Linked DNA regions of Schizosaccharomyces pombe. The protein of the gene in region 1 binds, or shares a complex with, the protein of each later gene. Each region holds a gene or a part of one and is shown in the gene's direction. Other genes may lie near its edges.

Region 1 (5,056 bases):
CGCATCAAGAAAATGTAGCAATTACCACACGTTGACACCTCCAAGAGTACTGGCACAGGGAGAAGACCAAATCTGAGAACTTAAAGCAGAAGTTGAGTTATGAGATTTAGATAGAGAGGAAGACAATCCAGACATATCATGATTGTTCCCGCTGTATTCTTGCTTGAAGTCCAAACTTAGTGTTGGTAGTGAAGAAGAAACAGAAGAGCCAGTGGACTGCGGAGAATCAGCAACAGCAGAAACATTGTTCACTGCTGTAACTGGTGTGGCATTTCCATTGGCAGCCGGTGGATTTGGAGGCCTCAGCGTTTGGTCAGTAGGAGTAGAACTATTACTGAATGCGATCTCTTTACGAGAAGGACGCGTACCGATCGGAGCTATCGATGAAGGTCGACGACGAGAAGGAATCGATAAAGATTCCATGTTAGCGGACTCTATGAAAGAAGAGGGCGTAAAGCTATTTGAAGCAGATTCAAACAACGAAAACCCAGCCGATTTTGAAGAAGAACGCAATGAAGAGGAGAGATTAGAAAGCCCACCAGATGGTAAACTAGCAGCACCGACAGTATTGTAAGAAAAGGAGGAGCGTGTCGGAGTAGCAAGATCATAATACGAAGAACGTGAATGATGAGCACTACTAGAGAGCAAAGACGTTGTGGATCTCCTGGGATGTAGTAATGAGGTACTAGCTTGTGAACCGAAATTGGAAGTAGCATTACCTGGTAACGAGCTTCCGAGCATGCTGGAACCAAAACCACTAGAACCGACCAAACCACTTGCCGGTTCAGCAGGAGACGTACCCAGCAGATTAGAGCCTGCAGTAGGGGTGCTCGAAAGTGTGCTTTTTAACAAACCAGAGCTGGGAACATGACTCATTGAAACACTGCCATTTAAGGCTTCGCTCAATGCACTCGTCGAAAAGGGGTTGTTCACTGAGGAGGCAAAACTATTTTTTCGACGAGGTGCAATCATACCATTTTTTACGAGATTGTCATAAGCCGATTCAACTTCTTCAAATTGACTTACAAAAGCCAAATCGTCCTCTGGCTGAACAACATTTGTTGGACCGAGCCCATCCCAATAAGAAGCGGCCGAAAACCAACTGTTGACTCCATCTACAAACGACATAAAGACAACTCGTTGTTTTTTTGAAATTGGCCTATTTTCAAAGTTTTAACCAAACGTTGTTTACTTCAAAAAAAATTTCCTGCCAATTGTGGTTTGCTTTGGATAGGTTCCTTTCACAGCGTTTACCAAGGAGCCGCTCCCAATATTTCGCTAACTTTTGTAATCGATAGTCTATTGTAACTGGGTTGCCATCCGGCAACTGTTCGTTCTTCGCTTCTCTATGACTTTTTTACTATTTCCGTAGTATTTGTTATCACTTAATCTCCACATTTTTTCTACATCGGACTTCAAGTTACAGTACCACGTGCCGCCCTTATTTTAAACGAACACACCATCAGCTTTGCATAGACTGTTAAATAGCTTATACAATTTAGTAAAACTGTGTAACTTAGATATATTGGAAAACAGTATCATAACAGTAAAGATTTAACCTCAGCAAATACTTGCCACTTCCAGTTTAAAGTGTAGGATGAACTTGTAAGCATGATAAAGTTGAAACAATATTCTTGTTGCGTAGAACCTTTTTCCTAGATCAACGCAAAAACAAAATAACTTAAAAAAAAAGAAAAGAAATTCGGATGCAGAAAAACTATATGTGCAAATACGGCGGGAGTTACACAAATAATTAAACATATACATCAGCCAAAAGATGTTTACTGGAACATTAATTGTTGAGACTTACGCAGATTGACCTGTTCACAGATGCGTGTTTTTTTTCAAAATACTCATACTTATTAAATTTCCCACCAATTTCTTAATCCTCAAATTCTATCGAGATTTCTGGGTTAGAGTGTGAAACTTTTTCAATATCAATACTAGGTTGTAACGACATCTCTTTGAATAATGATTGACAAGCTCTTGTACCATTGCCCAATGCAAGAACGTCTGCTTTTTGCGACGAGGAAAACGAACCGTTTGTGACTCGAGCAAGTCCGTAAAGAATCTTCCAATCCATAGGCTTTACACGTGATTGCATGCTTTTGCTTCCCTGTTCTTGTCGAAAAGTATCAACCGAATCAAAAAGGCGTTCCAATTTTATCTGTAACCTTTCAACCAAGTATCGGAGGCCATCCGGATTAGGCAGTTCCTCAGAAGAAGCCATTCTACCCAACTTGTGTAATTTTTTTGATGCTAAACGCACAGCCAAATATGCAGCCTCTTGGCGAAACCTCGAAGCCGAGGTTCCATCAAAAAATGATTCATCGGGGATGGAATGAATTGTAGGCCATACTGCACGTAGACGTGGTGGAATCCTTCGTTCATAACCGTCCAAATCGCTTTGCAATTCATTTCGACGAGTTATACCAGCTTTATAACTGCAATAAAGTTGAATACACAAATTTTTCATCTCAGATCTTCTCAGTTCGGAAACAATTTCTCGATACTCTATTAGCTGTGCGTATAGAGCATCTTGCTTTCGCATTTCTTTTTCATCCGAAGTATCCTGAGAAGAGGAAATATCCTCTTGACTTCCTTGCTGCTCTAATTCTTCCTCAGAATCATTCATAGCATCATTTCCTCAGAAGGTTTAGCATCCGGCTGTTGTGTTCGTAGGCTAGAGGTTAAGGAAAGGTCATTGTACCTGGCGCGATATTAAGTGTGTTTACTGACTTTTTTTTTTAATTTCCTTTAACTATAATCTAATAGAAAAAAACTTTTCCTTTTTTTTATTAATATAAGACTTTTGCTTCGTCTAACAACCGATAAACTAAGAGTGTGCAAATTTTGAAATATAAACATGCACCCAAATAACTTACTTTAATTTAAGAGCTATATATTATGCTACTTACCAAATTCCGTATGTATTCTGCTGACTTTTAATTGTTTAATTATGCCTTATTTTCTTTAACCATGGATCATTGTAAATTTTGTTATTTTACCTTTTTTTAAAAAAAAAAAAATCAGTAGAAAAGGCCTTAAATAAATTTTTTTCGAATTAGCATTTTTAAATGTTAATTATGTGATCTCTTTTTTCAAAATCGTTTAAACGAATTGGGATTTTGTAGCTAAAATTCAAATGAATTATCAATCCTTAATTGAAATTTGCACCGAATATACCTTCAATAAATTAAAAAAAAACCAAGGAATTTAAACATTTTAAGGACCTCACAAACCTTTTATTTACCATATAAGTTTTTCATACTTTACTTCGTACACCTATTTCATCCCTCTACTCCATTTCATAATTTCAACCTGTAGACAAAATTCAGCACATATATCGAATTCTTGTGATTCATATTCATTTTATATATTTTTCAGTATCGTTCTTCAGTTATTTGGTCTTTCTACGTTACTATATCATTTAGCTTCGTTATTGAAACACTACATTCTTTTCACATCATGAAAACTGTTTCGGGGGTAAAACAGCTTTCATTTACACCTTCGTAAGTTGCTCTTTGATTTCTTATTCTATCTTTTTTAGTGCTCTGTTTCCTTTTCACTTTGTTTTTCTTTGTTACAGTACTAACATTTTACTGGATAGAATTTTTAAGAAAATCACGCCTGAGCAGTATTTATCACATCTTCTTAATCAGGATGTTCGATCAGATGGGCGGTCTGTATCAGAATTCAGAGAAATTGTAATTAATGATAATTGCATATCTACTGCTAATGGTAGTGCTATCATTCGAGCTGGCGAAAATGTCTTTGTGTGTGGAATAAAAGCAGAAATTGCTGAACCTTTTGAAAACTCTCCCAATGAAGGTTGGATTGTTCCCAATCTTGAATTATCACCTCTTTGCAGTAGCAAATTTAAACCTGGCCCTCCTTCTGACTTGGCGCAAGTTGTCTCGCAGGAATTGCATCAGACTTTGCAACAGTATGTATCAAATTATTGGAATTTTTCTAATTTTCTACCATACGTTTCATTTATTGTTAAACTATCATTTAGAATATTTAGTTACTTTTACTAACAACTTATACAGATCTAACTTGATTAATTTACAGTCCCTATGCATTTTTGAAAAAAAAGCAGCCTGGGTATTGTATGCTGATATTATTTGTTTAAATTATGATGGAAGTGCCTTCGATTATGCATGGGCAGCTTTGTTTGCCGCTTTAAAAACTGTTAAATTACCAACTGCTGTTTGGGATGAAGATTTAGAGAGGGTTATCTGTGCTTCTACCCTTACAAGACCAGTTCAATTAAGTACTGAAGTTCGTTCTTTCTCATGGTCAGTATTTGACGACAAGTTGTTAGCCGACCCTACAGACGAGGAGGAGGACCTTTCAACTGAATTTTTGACAATTATGCTTAATAGCTCCAAAAATATTGTTAAGATAATAAAGCTTGGAGGCACTCACATTCAACCCCTTTTATTAAAAAAGTGTATTGAGGTTGCAAGGTCTAAGTTCTAACAAATTTTTGGGTTATCAAGGTGTATAAATTTTGAAAGTTTGAAAATATTCAAGTTCGTTTTTAATGCTTGAAACGTAATATTGATCTTGCTGTAATATAAAATACTATAGTCATAAAGCTAATTGATTTTCAAATGCTGTAGGAAATTTTTTTTATATAACTTATGAACCCTGTTTATCTCCTTTAACCAGTAAACTTTTTTTTGTCAAACTCTAAAACACAAGCATAGGAAGAATGATCAACTCAATACCCGATTTATTTACCAAAATCACGTTGAATCTTTTCTTTGCTGCCTTCACCAACATATCCTTTGGCGATGCCACTCTGTCCTTCGTATAATTTACTAGGACCTTCTCCTTCATCTACACTGTCAAGTCCCGACCAAGATTTTGACTGAAGAAACGCCGCTGCTGGAGAGTAAACCCCGTTCACTGCAAGACTTCTCATGCCACGCTTTTCTATAGAGGCTGAGGACGAGTCATTATTCTTTGCATCGGCAGTCTCAAGAGTAACGTCTAAATGTCGCATCGGGGTTGAATTCACAAACTTTCCAGTAATCAGACTAAAGTG
Region 2 (4,711 bases), on another chromosome or scaffold:
TGGATAGCGGTGACTCTGCCGGTCGTCTCATCGACAACCTGTTGGAAACGTGCGTTCGCACTTCAAGACCCGTTTATCTGGCCGTTCCTTCGGACGCCGGCTACTTCTACACGGATGCTTCTCCCTTGAAGACTCCATTGGTTTTCCCTGTTCCCGAAAACAACAAGGAGATTGAGCACGAGGTGGTTTCTGAGATTCTCGAATTGATCGAAAAATCCAAGAACCCTTCTATCCTCGTTGACGCTTGTGTTTCCCGCTTCCACATTCAACAGGAAACCCAAGACTTTATTGATGCGACCCATTTCCCCACTTACGTTACTCCCATGGGTAAGACTGCGATCAATGAGTCATCCCCCTACTTTGATGGCGTCTACATTGGCTCCTTGACCGAGCCTTCCATCAAAGAACGTGCCGAATCTACTGACTTGCTTCTCATCATCGGTGGTCTTCGCTCCGATTTCAACTCGGGCACCTTTACTTATGCTACCCCTGCATCTCAAACCATCGAATTTCATTCCGACTACACCAAAATTCGTTCTGGCGTTTACGAGGGCATTTCGATGAAACATTTGTTGCCCAAGCTCACCGCTGCCATTGACAAAAAGTCCGTTCAGGCAAAGGCCCGTCCTGTTCACTTTGAGCCACCAAAGGCTGTTGCTGCTGAGGGTTACGCCGAAGGAACCATTACCCACAAATGGTTCTGGCCTACGTTTGCCTCTTTTCTTCGTGAGTCCGATGTAGTGACTACCGAGACAGGTACCTCCAACTTTGGTATTTTGGATTGCATTTTCCCCAAAGGCTGCCAAAATCTCTCACAGGTATTATGGGGCTCAATTGGTTGGTCGGTTGGCGCTATGTTTGGTGCTACGTTGGGCATCAAGGATTCCGATGCTCCTCACCGTCGTTCCATATTGATTGTTGGTGACGGTTCCCTTCATTTAACTGTTCAGGAAATTTCTGCTACCATCCGTAACGGTCTCACCCCTATCATATTTGTAATTAACAATAAGGGATATACAATTGAACGTCTCATTCACGGTCTTCACGCTGTTTACAACGACATCAACACTGAATGGGACTATCAAAACCTTCTTAAAGGCTATGGTGCCAAAAATTCTCGCTCCTATAACATTCATTCAGAAAAGGAGCTCCTCGATCTCTTTAAAGATGAGGAATTTGGAAAAGCTGATGTAATTCAGCTCGTTGAAGTTCATATGCCTGTCTTGGATGCTCCTCGTGTTTTGATTGAGCAAGCCAAACTTACCGCTTCTCTTAACAAGCAGTAAAAAATATGGCTATGGCTATATTATTATGATATGTTTTTGATTTTGAAATTTACAATATTTCTCAAATGATGCTTTTGTTAGGTTAGTTAATTTGCAACAGTCGTTTTTTTTTTCTACGTCAATCCATATTTCTTTCATAAAATGAATGAATATATTGAAGTTTATGCAGCGGTTGTTTTTTTGTTGGTAATTAGGATTCATTGAATGATTTATTTTTTTTTTCTTTTTGCATCCCCTTACTCCAAGGTAGACTTGTCCAGATAATTCCCTGTTAGTATAAACTCAATAACATAAAAAAAGGTCATTGAGACGACTGGTAATGAGTAGCAGCAATAGAATCACTAAATAATATAGTACCTTCAATTTGGTCTCTCGTCTATGTCTTTGGCATAGATGGTAGATACAAAGCATTCGCTACAACCAAATCTTCCTCATGGCTTACAGATACCATTACGGGAGAAAGCGGAAATCGGGGATCATGAATAACAACGGAAGGGTAGCCTATATTAATCATAACAAAGTCAGTAACTTTACAAACCTTTTATTTTTAAACATTGAACATGGAAAACAAATGACACACCTGTGGGAGTTCGAACATACTCCATCATAGACATGTAAACTCGAAAATTCGGTTGTAAAGCTTTGAAAACAGCTTCTTTGACGCACCATCTACATAGGAAAATAACCGTTAAAACTATGAAACGATCATAAATATAGACAAGCATACCTAACAGCAAGCCATTTAGCCTGTTCGCTTAAACGAGGCAGCGAGGAATTGCTTTTAATCAGGTTGTACTTTTTAATTTCATTTTCACACAGACATTTTTTTAAAAAGTTCTTTTCCCATTCAGGAGAGCGTTGAATTAATCTTGAGATTCTTGAAATTTTTAAAATGTCAATCCCTAAACCCATTTCGATTTTTGATTCTTTATAACATGAACAGGAAATATTAATGGTAATGCAAGAAGAAAAAAAGAAATCTATGGCTTCAATAATTTTGAACGCTTAATTAATAATATATTGTAAACTAAATTTCCGACACACTAAACGAGATATAAAAATCTTTATCCTTAAATAAAATGAAATAAATTTATCTAATTCATTATCGATTAGTGCCCCCAAAGACATCAAATCCAATTCGTTTCGTAGCGAATGCAGTAGCAGGAGTTTTTACTGTAACAAGTGTACTCTCTACTCACTCCCAGTTACAAAAGTGTTCAAAGGGAACCAAAAATTATATATTTGTAATCCTTTCAATCACGAAAAAAAAAATTTCATATGGTAAGAGATAGAATTTATCTCTAGATAATACGAGTACTAACCATATAGTCACACTTTGAGATTTTATCCCTTGAAGGTCTTCGAAATGGTAAGCCAATTCATTTATGGGAAATGAAAAAGAAACTTAAAATTTACATTCAAACATCTATGATTCTTATAAAATGTATTAATCTTTCTGTGTGCTAATATTTGTTGCAAGATGGTCGACGGTGGGATGAGATGAGAAACTTTCAGTGTCGTATTGGAATCGAGCCTTCGGAGAATGGGTCGGCGTTTATTGAATTGGGTAACACAAAGGTCTTGTGTATAGTCGATGGACCCTCGGAGCCTGTAATAAAGTCCAAAGCTAGAGCTGACAGAACATTTGTGAATGTCGAAATAAACATTGCTTCTTTCAGCACAATAGATGTGAAAAAGAGATTTAAATCGGATAGGAGAATTCAATTGCAATGTTTAGCTTTACAAAATACATTTGAGGAGATAATTCAAACAGAATTATATCCCAGAAGTCAAATTTCTGTCTACTTGCATGTTTTACAAGATGATGGTGCAGTAATGGCATCTTGTATCAACGCTACTACTCTTGCCTTAATAGATGCTGGTATACCAGTTAAAGATTTCGTTTGCTGTAGTACAGCTGGGATTGTTGAGTCTGATATGCTGTTGGATTTAAACTCACTAGAGGAGTCAGCTCTTTCATGGTTGACGGTTGCTGTTTTGGGGAACATAAAAAAGGTCGTATATATGCAGCTGGAAACTAGTATGCATTTGGATTATTTGGAGTCAGTAATGAATATGGCGATCGCTGGATCAGAACATATTTATAACACGATGCAAAGTGCGGTTCGACAAAGCGCTAAACCGGCACTTGCAAGTCTCAGCTAATGACAAAATTTTGGGGAAAAAAACTATTAAAAATAAATGAACGGGAAGATTAATTTTTATAATTATACATTGATAAGTCATCACAATTGCAACTTTACTTAGCTCTACGATATTCTGACAAAACGTATACAGCTTTACTCATTTTATTCCTAGTACAACGTTTTTGTCCTTATCCTTGGTATTTCTGTATAAGTATCAAAAAAATCACCTCGAATATCGTATATAATCTTTTAATGATTGCGTCCCTTTTTTGTCTAAAGGGGCTTATATTACAAAAAATATGGATTGTACTGTAGATATTATGCATCAAAAAAGGCTCATTAATTAGTTGAAGATTTTATGAATAAATTCGGTTATTCAGATCTCACTTATTATAATAAATTGATTATTTTTTGGGGGAGGCTTTCATAAACAACCGGGAATTTTTCATTCAACAGATATTACAGATTGATGTGGATTAAAAAGAAAATATATATATATATATATATTTTTTTAGATTTTTAGATATAAGAAACCTAAGGTTTATTATGAGAATCGTAAAACTGTTTTTCGAGATAAATGTTAAATTTGTTAATGTTAAAATATGAAAAACACAGTATTTTTATTTTATATATTTCTATAATGGTGCAAACTAACAGTAGCTCTTGTAGCTCAGTGGTAGAGCGCCTGTCTCGTAAACAGGAGGTCCAGTGTTCGAGTCACTGCCGGAGCAGTTTTTATATTTTTCGATCACAGATCGGCCTTTCTAATAAGCATTGAAAGCTACAAAATGAGTATACTAAGATACTTATTAATGCATATTCTTGTAAATAGGGTTTCTCACAATTCATCGAATATACATACTCAAATTCTGCCGTTACTAGTTGATTGCTGATTTCAAGGACATCTTGATTAATAAAATGGAAGAATCGCTGTAGGATCAACAGTTAATATTACCTTCGTTTTAAAAATGAGGAATCTCGTGCCGTTCAACCAAAGTAAAAATGAAACTTCGTCAAACTGCATGACTAAGTTTCCCCTTTCTGTTTTTGATGCTTTCATAGCACTGTCAAGAATACCGTTGCGCAAATATCTGGCAATTATATACATACCAGTTCATCGCGGCCTGATTTAAGTTTTGTACGTTTTATTGTTTTCAATTGTTTTTACTAGACAGCATACTGAAATATGCCTTCAACAGTTTTTAATTTTATCAGTTTGATTGAATACATCAGTTTCCCTAAATGCTTTCTATCTTTGCCTTCAAAAACTTATTGCTT
Region 3 (5,051 bases), 560 kb from region 1:
ACGGTTAGGAAAGTTCTTCAAAGTACAGATAGGAAATGACTTTTCAGGAGGGTCTTGGGATGATCCGTACGACTCTGTAAGATGAGGTACAACAACTTGCGTATTACCCTTAGTACCCAAAGTACCAGACTCTAATAATGGCTTTTCGAAAAATACACAACGGCGGTCAACATACATTCGAGCTTCGACGTTATCCAAAGCATTCGTGACTAAAGATAACTTTTCAAAGAATTCATCGCCAAATATGCCTTCGCTTTCTGGTCCAACACGTTCTTGATATGAAGTTATTTTACCAGTCAATGAAGGATTCATGATTGAAACAGCGGTAGAAGCACATTCGGACTTCAGCTTTCCGACGTCACGAGGACGAAAGAGAAATTGACGATTCAAATTCGATTTTTCAATGGAGTCCATATCAGTAACAGAAATATGACCACTTTCACCAGTAGCGACACCCATCATAGCCCAGTTTTTCAGCATTTCACATCCAATAGCGCCAGCACCAACCAAAAACGTACTCAAAGAAGCTATTTTCTCTTGAAATTCCGAACCGAAAACAGCGATTTGCCCATCGTATCGACAGCCACGAGGTTTACAAGTTTCTTCACTGATCGTTACAGAAGATGGCAAGCTTTCTAAGGAGTCAAAATAGAAGTATTGCTTCAATGGGTAAAATTTACTGGTGGTAGCTTTCAACACTTCCTGTGCTACAGCACCGCCCAAAAACGCGGACATTGCAACCAAATCACCTCTTGCCTGGTATGAAATTTCCTTAATTAGTTTTTCATCGAGTTCAACATCAAATTGAAGTGTGCTTGCAATTTTCTTACAAAATTCGAAAAATTCAGCTGCATCAATGTCGTTACGGGGTCGAGGCAATGAACCTTCATGCGCATCGGCAAATGCTGAAAGGGCCTGGAAAGCAATGTGGTATTGTGGAGGTCTCATCATTTTACCAAAGTCAGGATATACATATTCAGGGTCCTTGAGCGATTCGCGGAGAGATTTGAAAGATATTTTGGTTGGAACTTTAACTTGGGTAAAGACACCATTGTAACCGGCACTTCCTAAATCTTTAACAGATCCGATAGAAAAGGTATATGGACCTTTCACTTCAACTTTACGAGGAGTGCCATCATTTAAACCAGGCATACCCTTCACTTCGGTAAATTTAACAAAATCACCATTCTCCAATCCATGACGAGTTTCTTCAAGCATGGTAACAACTCCATCATCAGTAATTGAAGCGATCATTCCAGTTAAAGGTTCATTTCCATCAGTGTCAGTACAAATAAAGTTCTCACCAAAATCACAAAATATCGATCCAAAAAGACCACGGCTGTCAGCAGCAATATAAGCAATATGGTTTTTGTGTGTAAAGTCGTTAATTTCTAGCTGTTTCGTAAGAGAAGTTTCTGTGACAACCACGCATTTGAAGTTTTTTAGATACTCTGTTGAAAGTTCATCAACTACAGAAACAGGCACATATTGATTAAGCTCTGCTAACTTTGATACCGTTACTTTTGCACGAGGAACACCAATATCGTCTTCTGTAAGAAAATATTGTGATGATAAGTCCTCAATGCGTGTAGGTTGAGGATCGTAAAGAGTAACGCTTTTTACACCTGCTAGACAAACGTTCTTTGCTATTTCAACGCCTAAACCTTTGCAGCCAATGATTAAGACATTCGACTGACTCATTTGTTTCATAGCCTCATGGCCTAAAACATAACTTTAGATAAATTAGCAAGCGCTCAGTACAAGAAAGAATATAAAAACATAAAGCTAAACCAAATCAACACCGGTAATAATGACTCTTCATGTTTCTAATAAAACTTACAGTTGTCTAGAGTAAAGCCCTTCATCGATAGTATTTTGATCCGTTTGATCAATGTTCATGTTATTCTTTTGCAATGTTAGTAAGAAGCGAAAAATACTTGAATCATTTAAACAAATTACATACACTCATTACGAAACGTGGTGTTGGCAGAGGAGAGTCATACGTAGGCTATAATATAGTGTTTTTATATGTTCAAATAGCGAGCTCTTTCGTTACACATGCTTAACAATTTATTACTCATTAAATTTAAGAGCGCGCACTTGAAGTATGCTGGCTGGATAAAAAAAAATTTTGCACCATTATTCTAAAAGCATTTTTATTTTCCAGCTTACTGATTGAAACGCTTAGTCATTACAAAAATCTTTTAGATGCGATAAAATTGCTTTCTATATGTCATATATACACCGAATCAAACAATATCGTTATATATATTAAGGCATGCAAACGCGTCATCCCAAAACGCGAAGCCACCACTGAAAATCCAGGCTGCTTCTGTATTGTTTTCTTAACGGTACATCAAGGTTAAAACAAATACTCTATAAATCGATGTCAGATAGAAAGAGAGTGTATGGACCGAGTGTATCCGTTCCCCCTTATTTTGAAGAGCCAGAACAACCTGTTTTCACGCGGACTCGTGATGTTGACAGATGTCGAAAAATATGTAAGATACCGATTATTAACATTTTCACTGACAATTAGATCTAAAATTAGGGTGGGCTACTAAAGCTGTCGGTAGCAGTTATTTTGAATCAGAAAAAATAAAAATTGCATGCACAGTCTCTGGTCCTCGACCTAGTAAGACTTTTGCTTTTCGTTCATCAGCAAAGTTGAATTGTGAATTTAGATTATCCCCATTTTCTACTTCTGTTCGTCAGGGACATGTACAAACCGTCGAAGAAAAAAGCTATTCCCAAATGATTGAAGCAGCAATTTCTCCAAGTATATTACTGCATTTGTATCCGAAAAGTTCTATAGACGTTTATATTCAAGTGATTGAAAGTGACGGTGCATTAGCAACATTGGCTGCTGCTATAAGTTGCGCATCAAGTGCAATAGCTGATGCTAACATCGACTGCATAGATTTGGTGACGGGCTCGAGTGTATTATTTAATCCCAATACGGATGAATATTGGATTGATCCTGATTATGTGGATGAGCGTGCAAGGGCTGCTAAAGGTTCTGTAGTTATGGGGTACATGGCTTCTCTTGGTCACGTTACTCAAGTATGGGAAAGAGGCACTTGCTCTCCGAGTCGCCTTTCGTTTTTGACGGAAAAATGCATAAAGAATGCCAAAGATACTCGGTTAGTAATTAATCATGCACTGCTACTAGAGAAGTCGAAATCCGAAGATCCTTAGATATTGGAATTCTACCTCTATAATAATATTCTGTTGATGGCTAATATTTATACCAATTTTACAAATTACATAATCAAATTTATTTCTTTTTAAAATTCTCTTCTATTAGTTGGCAATGCTCAAGTTTTGCCTTTTTTTCCTTAACACACATTTGAAGGGAGACGCTATCTTTTCTCGACAAACAAGCAGATGACTTCCCTAAGTAGATTTTCTTCTTTGAAATCAGCTTGGCCATCCGCAAGTTACGTTTGTTATGAAAAATACGAGTAAATATTAAATTAAAGATCTTAGTTTTTATCACTCGCGAATATATTCAGTAGCCAAACGATTAACTCTTTCCAATTTTTTCCAGTCTATTTATCGATTCCAATAGAACAAAACAAATGCTGAGATTTTATTAATACATATATTTGATACTAATTTATCAAGCTGCATTGAGACGAAAGCATCTTGGTAGTACTAGAATCATTGTTACTCACATACTGTTACCTGCTTCTTATAACCTCCAAATCAGCGAAATTCCGCGTCTTCATCATAGCCAAACTTATGCTCAATTGCCTCGTTTGTAAATTAAAATATATTTAACAATAAGAAGGACGATAAAGAGGGGATTCTTCTATACAATAAAATTGCTTTCATTTAAATTAGGTCATTGATGATTATTAGTTGTTGCTTTTAAAAATTTGATATATTCACGGACAATAGGATAGAACCATTTAAAACGGAAGCTAAGAATCTTTCCAAAAGTCCAAAATAATTTGATTTTATTGAAAATTACTCGAAAACTGCTGAATTTGCGAATTTGCCTTTATTGCAGCAAATTACCGTATTTGAATACTACACTAGCTTAAAATTATTGAGTTCTTTTTTAGTTTTGAAATAAAACTATAAAAAATCAAAATGTCGAGCCCAAGGCGCAGAATTGAGACGGACGTTATGAAGCTGCTGATGAGTGATTACGAGGTAACTCTTGTCAATGATAATATGCAAGAATTTTACGTTAGGTTCCATGGACCGTCTGAAACCCCTTACTCAGGTGGAATATGGAAAGTTCATGTTGAACTGCCAAGTGAGTATCCTTGGAAATCTCCAAGTATTGGATTTGTAAATCGTATATTTCATCCCAATATCGATGAGCTTAGTGGAAGTGTTTGCTTGGACGTGATAAATCAAACTTGGTCTCCAATGTTTGATATGATTAATATTTTTGAGGTTTTTCTTCCACAGCTACTCCGTTATCCTAATGCGTCGGACCCTCTAAATGGAGAGGCAGCAGCTCTATTATTGCGAGAGCCGAATACCTACTATGCCAAGGTTCGAGATTATATCGCTCGGTATGCTAATAAAGAAGACGCTGATATAACTTTGAACGACTCTTCAGATGATGACACCATGTCTTCTATTGACACTGAATCTGGCGATGAAATTGCTGGTCCAATGGACTCTGATTTTTAAATTTCGTTACGTTGCTTTGTTTGATATACATTGATTCTTTTTTGAATTCTCTTTATGGATACTGATTGTGGCATTCAATAAACCGATGGATAGCTAAATCTGTTACACTTTTTTTTCTATTGATGCATTGAATGATTCTTTTTGCATGCTGTCGCTTGCAAAACCCGTTTGAATTTGCTTTCAATCAGTAGTCGTGACAACGATATTTAATAGGTTTATTTTCTTGAAGCTTCAAGTTACTGCAGCATAATTTACGACTATAACTCCATGATGCATAGTTAATGAGAACTAATATTTAAATAAAATAGAAAAAAAATATTAAATAAATACATTGATCATATCTACCTATAAATTAAGCTGAACAATCAGCGCGTTAATTATTTCCCTATCATACGATG
Region 4 (5,841 bases), 2.7 Mb from region 1:
AGTATATTAATATATAATTCATTTATTTGTTTGTGGTCTACTAAAGATAAAATAAAATAAGAATAAACATAAGAAATATTAATAAGCCAAACCAAATAATCACAAAAAATACGTATATAGGCGTTTTATAAATATCTGCGTTTTGCTGGAATAATAGTTATGAAACTAATGAACGGAATTCAACTAAACATACTCTACAGCACCAATTAAATTCACTATCGATACGAACTTCTTTCTTCGGGATTTCCTTAAAATCACTTAACATCAATTGTCAAACTTATTAACAAACTGAAGCAATACTTGATATTGACCAAATTAATATTATTCTCGTACTTTTTAATTGAGTACAAAAAATAAAGTTGCCATTGTTTGTTGAATATACAAAAAATGGAAAAGAAATAAATAATACTTTAATAACATGAGTTCCAATGTATTATTGAAATTCCATGCGATTAACTTTTTTACTAATATACAGAATAACTCCACCTATCTGGGATCGTATGGAAGTATAGTTGCTTATACTTAGTTCCATTAAATTTAAAATTTTTTAAACAAGAAATTTTTTTATTAAGAACAGGTTTCTATTTACCAACGAAATAGGCTTGACTTACTAGTTTCAGATTAACATTTGCTCATGATTAAGACAATACGCAAACGCATATACCGAAATCATCGCAATTCACTATAATAAAAGCAAACTGCACTGCCGAACGCTATTCAGAGGCAAGAATAATCATGCATCTGTCCAACGATTTATATTTATTCACTTAAAAACATATGTCTTTAATCACTAAGTACGTCTTGTAGTTGACATATTTTCTTTCTAATCTTTTGCTTTTCATCTACAATCGTTCTACAGCTTTATATCCACTCTCACTTTATCATTCCTGAATGAATTCACTAATTGATCAATAACCACTTTTTTTCTTTACTTTAGTTAGCTTACGAAACATTATTTTTGTTCAAAAGTTTGTATTTAATTTGGTCATATCATCATGCTGCAAGTGCTTCGTGTTTCAGCTCCTTGTTTTGCTTTTGTTGATACTATAGGAAGCATTGGAGTTTGCAGGGTAGTTCGCTTTACCACATTTCATAATACACCTATTGAAGTATACAACAAGAAAGTTAATGACGGCGTATGGAAACGTGACCCGTATCAAGAAACAGCGGTTAAAGCAATCAACCGTTTGTATACCGAATTGGAATCGTATACACAACCTCCAATAACGCAAGATAGTATGCCAGCTGAAAAGGGATCAATCCTATCTTGGATATCCCCCTTAAAGAAAATGTTTTCTAGGAAGAAGTCTCCCACTCTAACTTCTTCTTTACCTGTACCGGGTATGCCTAAAGGTATATATCTATATGGTGATGTGGGCTGTGGTAAAACCGCTTTGATGGATCTATTTTATCACAACTTACCACCCAATGTTACTCGTTCTCAGCGCATTCATTTCCATGCATTTATGATGCAAGTTCATCGCACTTCACATGATTTGCAAGATCGTTATGGGTTTGAGATTGATTTTATAGATCATATTGCATCCGGAATAGCAAAAGAAACAACAGTGCTATGTTTTGACGAATTACAGGTAACCGATGTCGCGGACGCTCTTTTACTACGCAGACTCTTTGAGGCCCTTATGAAGTATGGTGTTGTTATCTTTATTACTTCTAATAGGGCTCCTTCTGATTTGTATAAAAATGGAATACAAAGAGAGAGCTTCATTCCTTGCATTAAACTTTTGGAACATCGTCTTCAAGTAATTTGTTTGGACAGTCCAAACGATTACCGACGCCTAAAATCTAAAACAGAAGATACATATCTTTATCCTGCTAATAGCCCAGAAGTTAAGAAAGCCTTGGAAAATTGGTTTCTTTGCTACGCTGATGAGAAAGATCCTGCTCACCAAGACGAAGTTGAAGTATTTGGGAGAAAGATAATCGTTCCAAAAGCAAGTGGCAACGTTGCATGGTTCACCTTTGAACAATTATGTGGAGAACCGAAAAGCGCTGCCGACTATCTTTCATTGGCAAGCCGTTACCATGTTTTCATCGTTTCAGACATTCCCAAATTGAGTATCGAGTCGAAAGACCTTATCCATAGGTTCATTACATTTATTGATGCCCTTTATGACACCCATGGAAAACTCATCTTATCATCTGAAGTTCCAGTTCAAGAAATATATCCGACAGCACCTTCTGAAGTACTTTCCTCTACGGCTGATCCTGCTGCCAAGGGGAAAATTGAATCTCACTATCATGGAGCATTTGGTGGGATTGAAGAGGTATTTACCTTCACGCGTTGCTTGAGTAGACTTTCAGAAATGAAAAAACAATCCTGGATTCATTCTCCTTAATACAAAGGTGATTCCTTTATAATGAGATTATATATCATGATGTATTATTTTTAAAAAAATATTTTGAAAGATGGCTATGAGTAATTTCTAATTTTTTAGTGGTTGGGCTGTTACAGATCATTCCAGTTTCTCCTATCATTCAGCTTTAGTAAAGTAAAAATTGGAAGAATTTAATTACAAACCCTTATTAATACAACTCCCATTGTCACCAAACTATTGATACATTTTTTTCTGCTCTCATTCTGTTTTCGAATAACGAGGTGTAAGCTAGCTTATTTCCTACTTGTGCAAAGGAAGTAGAAACGTTTCTTCTGTCTCTGCAAGCAAGCAACTTTGTTGCATTATAGAAGCTGAAATGAACCGTATAGGTATCCTCTCAAGGTCTGATGGCTCGAGCGAATGGAAACAAGGTAATGCTATTATCCACGGTATATTAGCCAAGCAAATGCCAATTAAAAAAAAATGAATTTTCTTTATGCTAACATCATTGTAGGTTCTGCTAGGGTTATTTGTGGTGTCAATGGTCCTATTGATGTAAAAATCAGGGACGAAAGGCTTAACAAGGCCACCGTTGAAGTTTTGGTTCAACCTGTGAGTGGTGTCGCTGAGACTTTGGAAAAGATGATTTCTAGCAGAATTGTTGGTATCCTAGAAGATGCAATATTTCTAAACACATATCCAAGAACACTTATACAAGTGTCAATTCAGATAATAGAGGAAGATGGCACAGATACATTGGCTGCCGTAATCAATGGTGCGGTACTTGCTTTATTGGACGCAGGTATCTCTTTAAAATATATTCCCTGTGCAATAAATTGTCACTGGAAGAACAAAATAACTCAAGATGAACCTGATGTCGATGGGACAATTAACAAATTGGAGTCTATTATTACTATTTGTTATTCAATTTCCTCAGAACCAGCCAAATTAATTTTTCTCGAAACAGCTGGCCCCATTCCAGAAGAAGATTTTTTCCGTGTTCTGGAGACAGCACCATTGCATGCCGAGGAAGTTTCTAAGAAAATGAAAGAATTGCTTTTTGAAACGTACAACGAGAGCGATGGTCATGAAAATGAAAAGAACCCCAAAGAGGATGTTGAGATGGATGTGGTTGCATAAGAAAATCAATAAAGTGCATGTAAAAAGTCCATCTCAAGGACCTTCGTTTCGTATTTACCATTGTACCTGTTAAACGACTATACCTTTGAACAATATCTTTGGCTGTTCATTTTTATACTTAGATTTTATATTACTTGGGCGATATACATTGGGTTATTTTTAATTTATTTTAGTTTATTACTAATTGAGAAACCAGAACCTAAACAATCCTACTACATTAGAAGGTTTACTGTCATTCTTTCAATTCACTAGCAATTAATGTGTTCTTTCAATACTTCAATGTATGCTGATACATTTGGGTTAAATCATAAAAGAAGATCTGTCATAAGACAATCGTTCAGTACAAGGCCTTGGGTATATACACTCATGACTTTTTTTTTTAATTTTGCCACTCACTCACTTACTCTATACATATTGAGTCTATCTAACGTATCAAGCTGTTAACTAAGAGAAACGATTTGAAAACACATAGGAAGGTCGCACACATTAGCTGTCTTATATACTACTGAATTTTAAGTTTAGGAAATCATTGAAGGTAAAATAGGTAGAAAAGTGAATAAAAGGCATTCATACCCAGGACAAAGCATTGCCTTCATAAACTGGGAATTTGCCATACACTAAAAAATTACTGTTGCACAACTTTTCCTAAAAAGTAATCTAATGTAGTAATATTATACTACAGCAGGTATTAATATTTTTTCACATGTCCTTTTTTTTATGTGTTCGCCAAATATGACGGTTATAAATTTAGTTAAATACTTTTGATTGAAGGTACTATTAGCTACAATTTATGAATAGAGATCAATTGACCCGGTTCTCAGTCCAGTTATAAGCTGATTCAACGATGAGTTACACCCTTCATGCCACAAAATTTATAGCATTTGTCACCCATATCACTTTTTTTAGGACAAATAACATACACTACCAATGTAACATTAAATGTGATAACACAGTGCGTTGCTAACATTTAGCAATTCTTTTCTTACCACGTAATACTTTTTATGGATAACCTTATTCCGCGTTATTTTTCCCCACTCACAGCACACTTGATTGCCGAGTCCAATCAAGTTGATATGAATAACCGTGATGACGGAATTAGGGCGCTTCGTAGACCTTAATTGTTTACATACAAAATGTTCAGCTATGCAGCCCTTTCGTCCACATTCAACACTCCCCCATCTCTTCTTAAAAAAAAAATAAGCAGAAAAACTCGTTTTCTGTAAAGTAGAAGGTATTTTAGAATACACTACAATTTTTTCTAGTAAAACTATTATTGGATACCTTTTTTTCGCAGTTCTAAAGGCTTATTTCTGCTAGTTATAGTAATTCACTGTGTATTTAGGAGAGGACTCAAGGTTGTCGTTCTCTCTTTCTATTACTGTCTATTAATATCGTAAAATAGCTCAATTTTGAATGGGTTTATCTCTTTAGTTTGCTTGCTCTTTAACATTTGTCATTATCTCATACATTTTTTTACTCACGCCTCCCTACCACTTATCACTTAGTCCTATTTAAGGGGAAATTTGTTTACTTCTTTTTTCTTAAAAAATGTCGGTCTCAAAAGCTAGACTACAGTCTGTGGTTCGCCTGTCTCGTACAGTGCCATATTCAAAAACGATGGTTCGTTCATTTCATGTATCCTGTGCTGTAAAGAACAGTGGGAATGTTCCTACACCCCGTAACAAATCATTTTTCTCTCGAGCACTTGAAATGGCGGAAGTTACTTCTTCTTTGTCCATGTTGGGTGCCGTAGCCCTCTTCCAATCCTTACGAAGACTGAACAACAGTTCGCCAAAAGGAAAATCTGGTGTTCCGAAAAAGAACATAGTTGTTTTGGGTTCTGGATGGGGTGCAGTCGCGGCAATCAAAAATTTGGACCCGTCCTTGTACAACATTACCCTCGTGAGCCCTAGGGACCATTTTTTATTCACCCCTATGCTTCCTTCATGTACCGTGGGTACTTTGAGACTTCCAAGTATTACTGAGCCCATTGTGGCTTTGTTCAAAGGAAAAATTGATCCCTCCAACATTCACCAAGCTGAATGCACTGCCATCGACACATCGGCTAAGAAAGTTACCATTCGTGGTACGACCGAAGCTAACGAGGGAAAGGAAGCGGTTATTCCGTATGATACGCTTGTTTTTGCTATTGGAGCTGGTAATCAAACATTTGGTATCCAGGGTGTCCGCGACCATGGCTGTTTTCTGAAAGAAGCGGGAGATGCCAAGAAGGTGTTTAACCGCATCTTTGAAATCTTGGAACAAGTTCGATTCAATAAAGATCTTTCTCCCGAGGAACGGGCTCGTCTCTTACACATCACTGTTGTTGGTGGTGGCCCTACTGGAATGGAATTTGCAGCTG

Evidence for each region.
Region 2: rrp43 (region 1) and rrp41 share a complex: the UniProt entries of both Schizosaccharomyces pombe proteins name them as parts of the RNA exosome complex.
Region 3: rrp43 (region 1) and mtr3 share a complex: the UniProt entries of both Schizosaccharomyces pombe proteins name them as parts of the RNA exosome complex.
Region 4: rrp43 (region 1) and rrp46 share a complex: the UniProt entries of both Schizosaccharomyces pombe proteins name them as parts of the RNA exosome complex.

The regions. Positions count from the first base shown.
Region 1 is NC_003423.3:3,331,182-3,336,237, reverse strand, and holds rrp43 (exosome subunit Rrp43), read left to right. Parts: upstream 1-3,292; 5' UTR 3,293-3,468; coding exon 3,469-3,512; exon of another isoform or gene 3,513-3,610; coding exon 3,611-3,946; intron 3,947-4,052; coding exon 4,053-4,485; 3' UTR 4,486-4,556; downstream 4,557-5,056. Other genes in the region: protein rhs1, read right to left, coding at 22-1,128; RNA polymerase I upstream activation factor complex subunit Acr1, read right to left, coding at 1,883-2,635; dph2 (diphthamide biosynthesis protein), read right to left, coding at 4,742-5,056. UniProt on the Schizosaccharomyces pombe protein: Non-catalytic component of the RNA exosome complex which has 3'->5' exoribonuclease activity and participates in a multitude of cellular RNA processing and degradation events.
Region 2 is NC_003424.3:3,160,657-3,165,367, forward strand, and holds rrp41 (exosome 3'-5' phosphorolytic exoribonuclease Rrp41), read left to right. Parts: upstream 1-2,470; 5' UTR 2,471-2,564; coding exon 2,565-2,567; exon of another isoform or gene 2,568-2,615; coding exon 2,616-2,655; exon of another isoform or gene 2,656-2,766; coding exon 2,767-3,452; 3' UTR 3,453-3,698; downstream 3,699-4,711. Other genes in the region: pdc201 (pyruvate decarboxylase), read left to right, coding at 1-1,286; ppt2 (holo-[acyl-carrier-protein] synthase new8), read right to left, coding at 1,663-1,787, 1,867-1,955, 2,014-2,198. UniProt on the Schizosaccharomyces pombe protein: Non-catalytic component of the RNA exosome complex which has 3'->5' exoribonuclease activity and participates in a multitude of cellular RNA processing and degradation events.
Region 3 is NC_003423.3:3,885,614-3,890,664, reverse strand, and holds mtr3 (exosome complex component mtr3), read left to right. Parts: upstream 1-2,347; 5' UTR 2,348-2,386; coding exon 2,387-2,501; exon of another isoform or gene 2,502-2,539; coding exon 2,540-3,198; 3' UTR 3,199-3,760; downstream 3,761-5,051. Other genes in the region: uba1 (ubiquitin-activating enzyme E1), read right to left, coding at 1-1,732, 1,841-1,905, 1,964-1,969; ubiquitin conjugating enzyme Ubc8, read left to right, coding at 4,099-4,653; gamma tubulin complex GCP4 subunit Gfh1, read right to left, coding at 4,999-5,051. UniProt on the Schizosaccharomyces pombe protein: Non-catalytic component of the RNA exosome complex which has 3'->5' exoribonuclease activity and participates in a multitude of cellular RNA processing and degradation events.
Region 4 is NC_003423.3:636,659-642,499, forward strand, and holds rrp46 (exosome subunit Rrp46), read left to right. Parts: upstream 1-2,673; 5' UTR 2,674-2,715; coding exon 2,716-2,770; exon of another isoform or gene 2,771-2,853; coding exon 2,854-3,479; 3' UTR 3,480-4,685; downstream 4,686-5,841. Other genes in the region: AFG1 family ATPase, read left to right, coding at 996-2,360; ndi1 (NADH dehydrogenase), read left to right, coding at 5,028-5,841. UniProt on the Schizosaccharomyces pombe protein: Non-catalytic component of the RNA exosome complex which has 3'->5' exoribonuclease activity and participates in a multitude of cellular RNA processing and degradation events.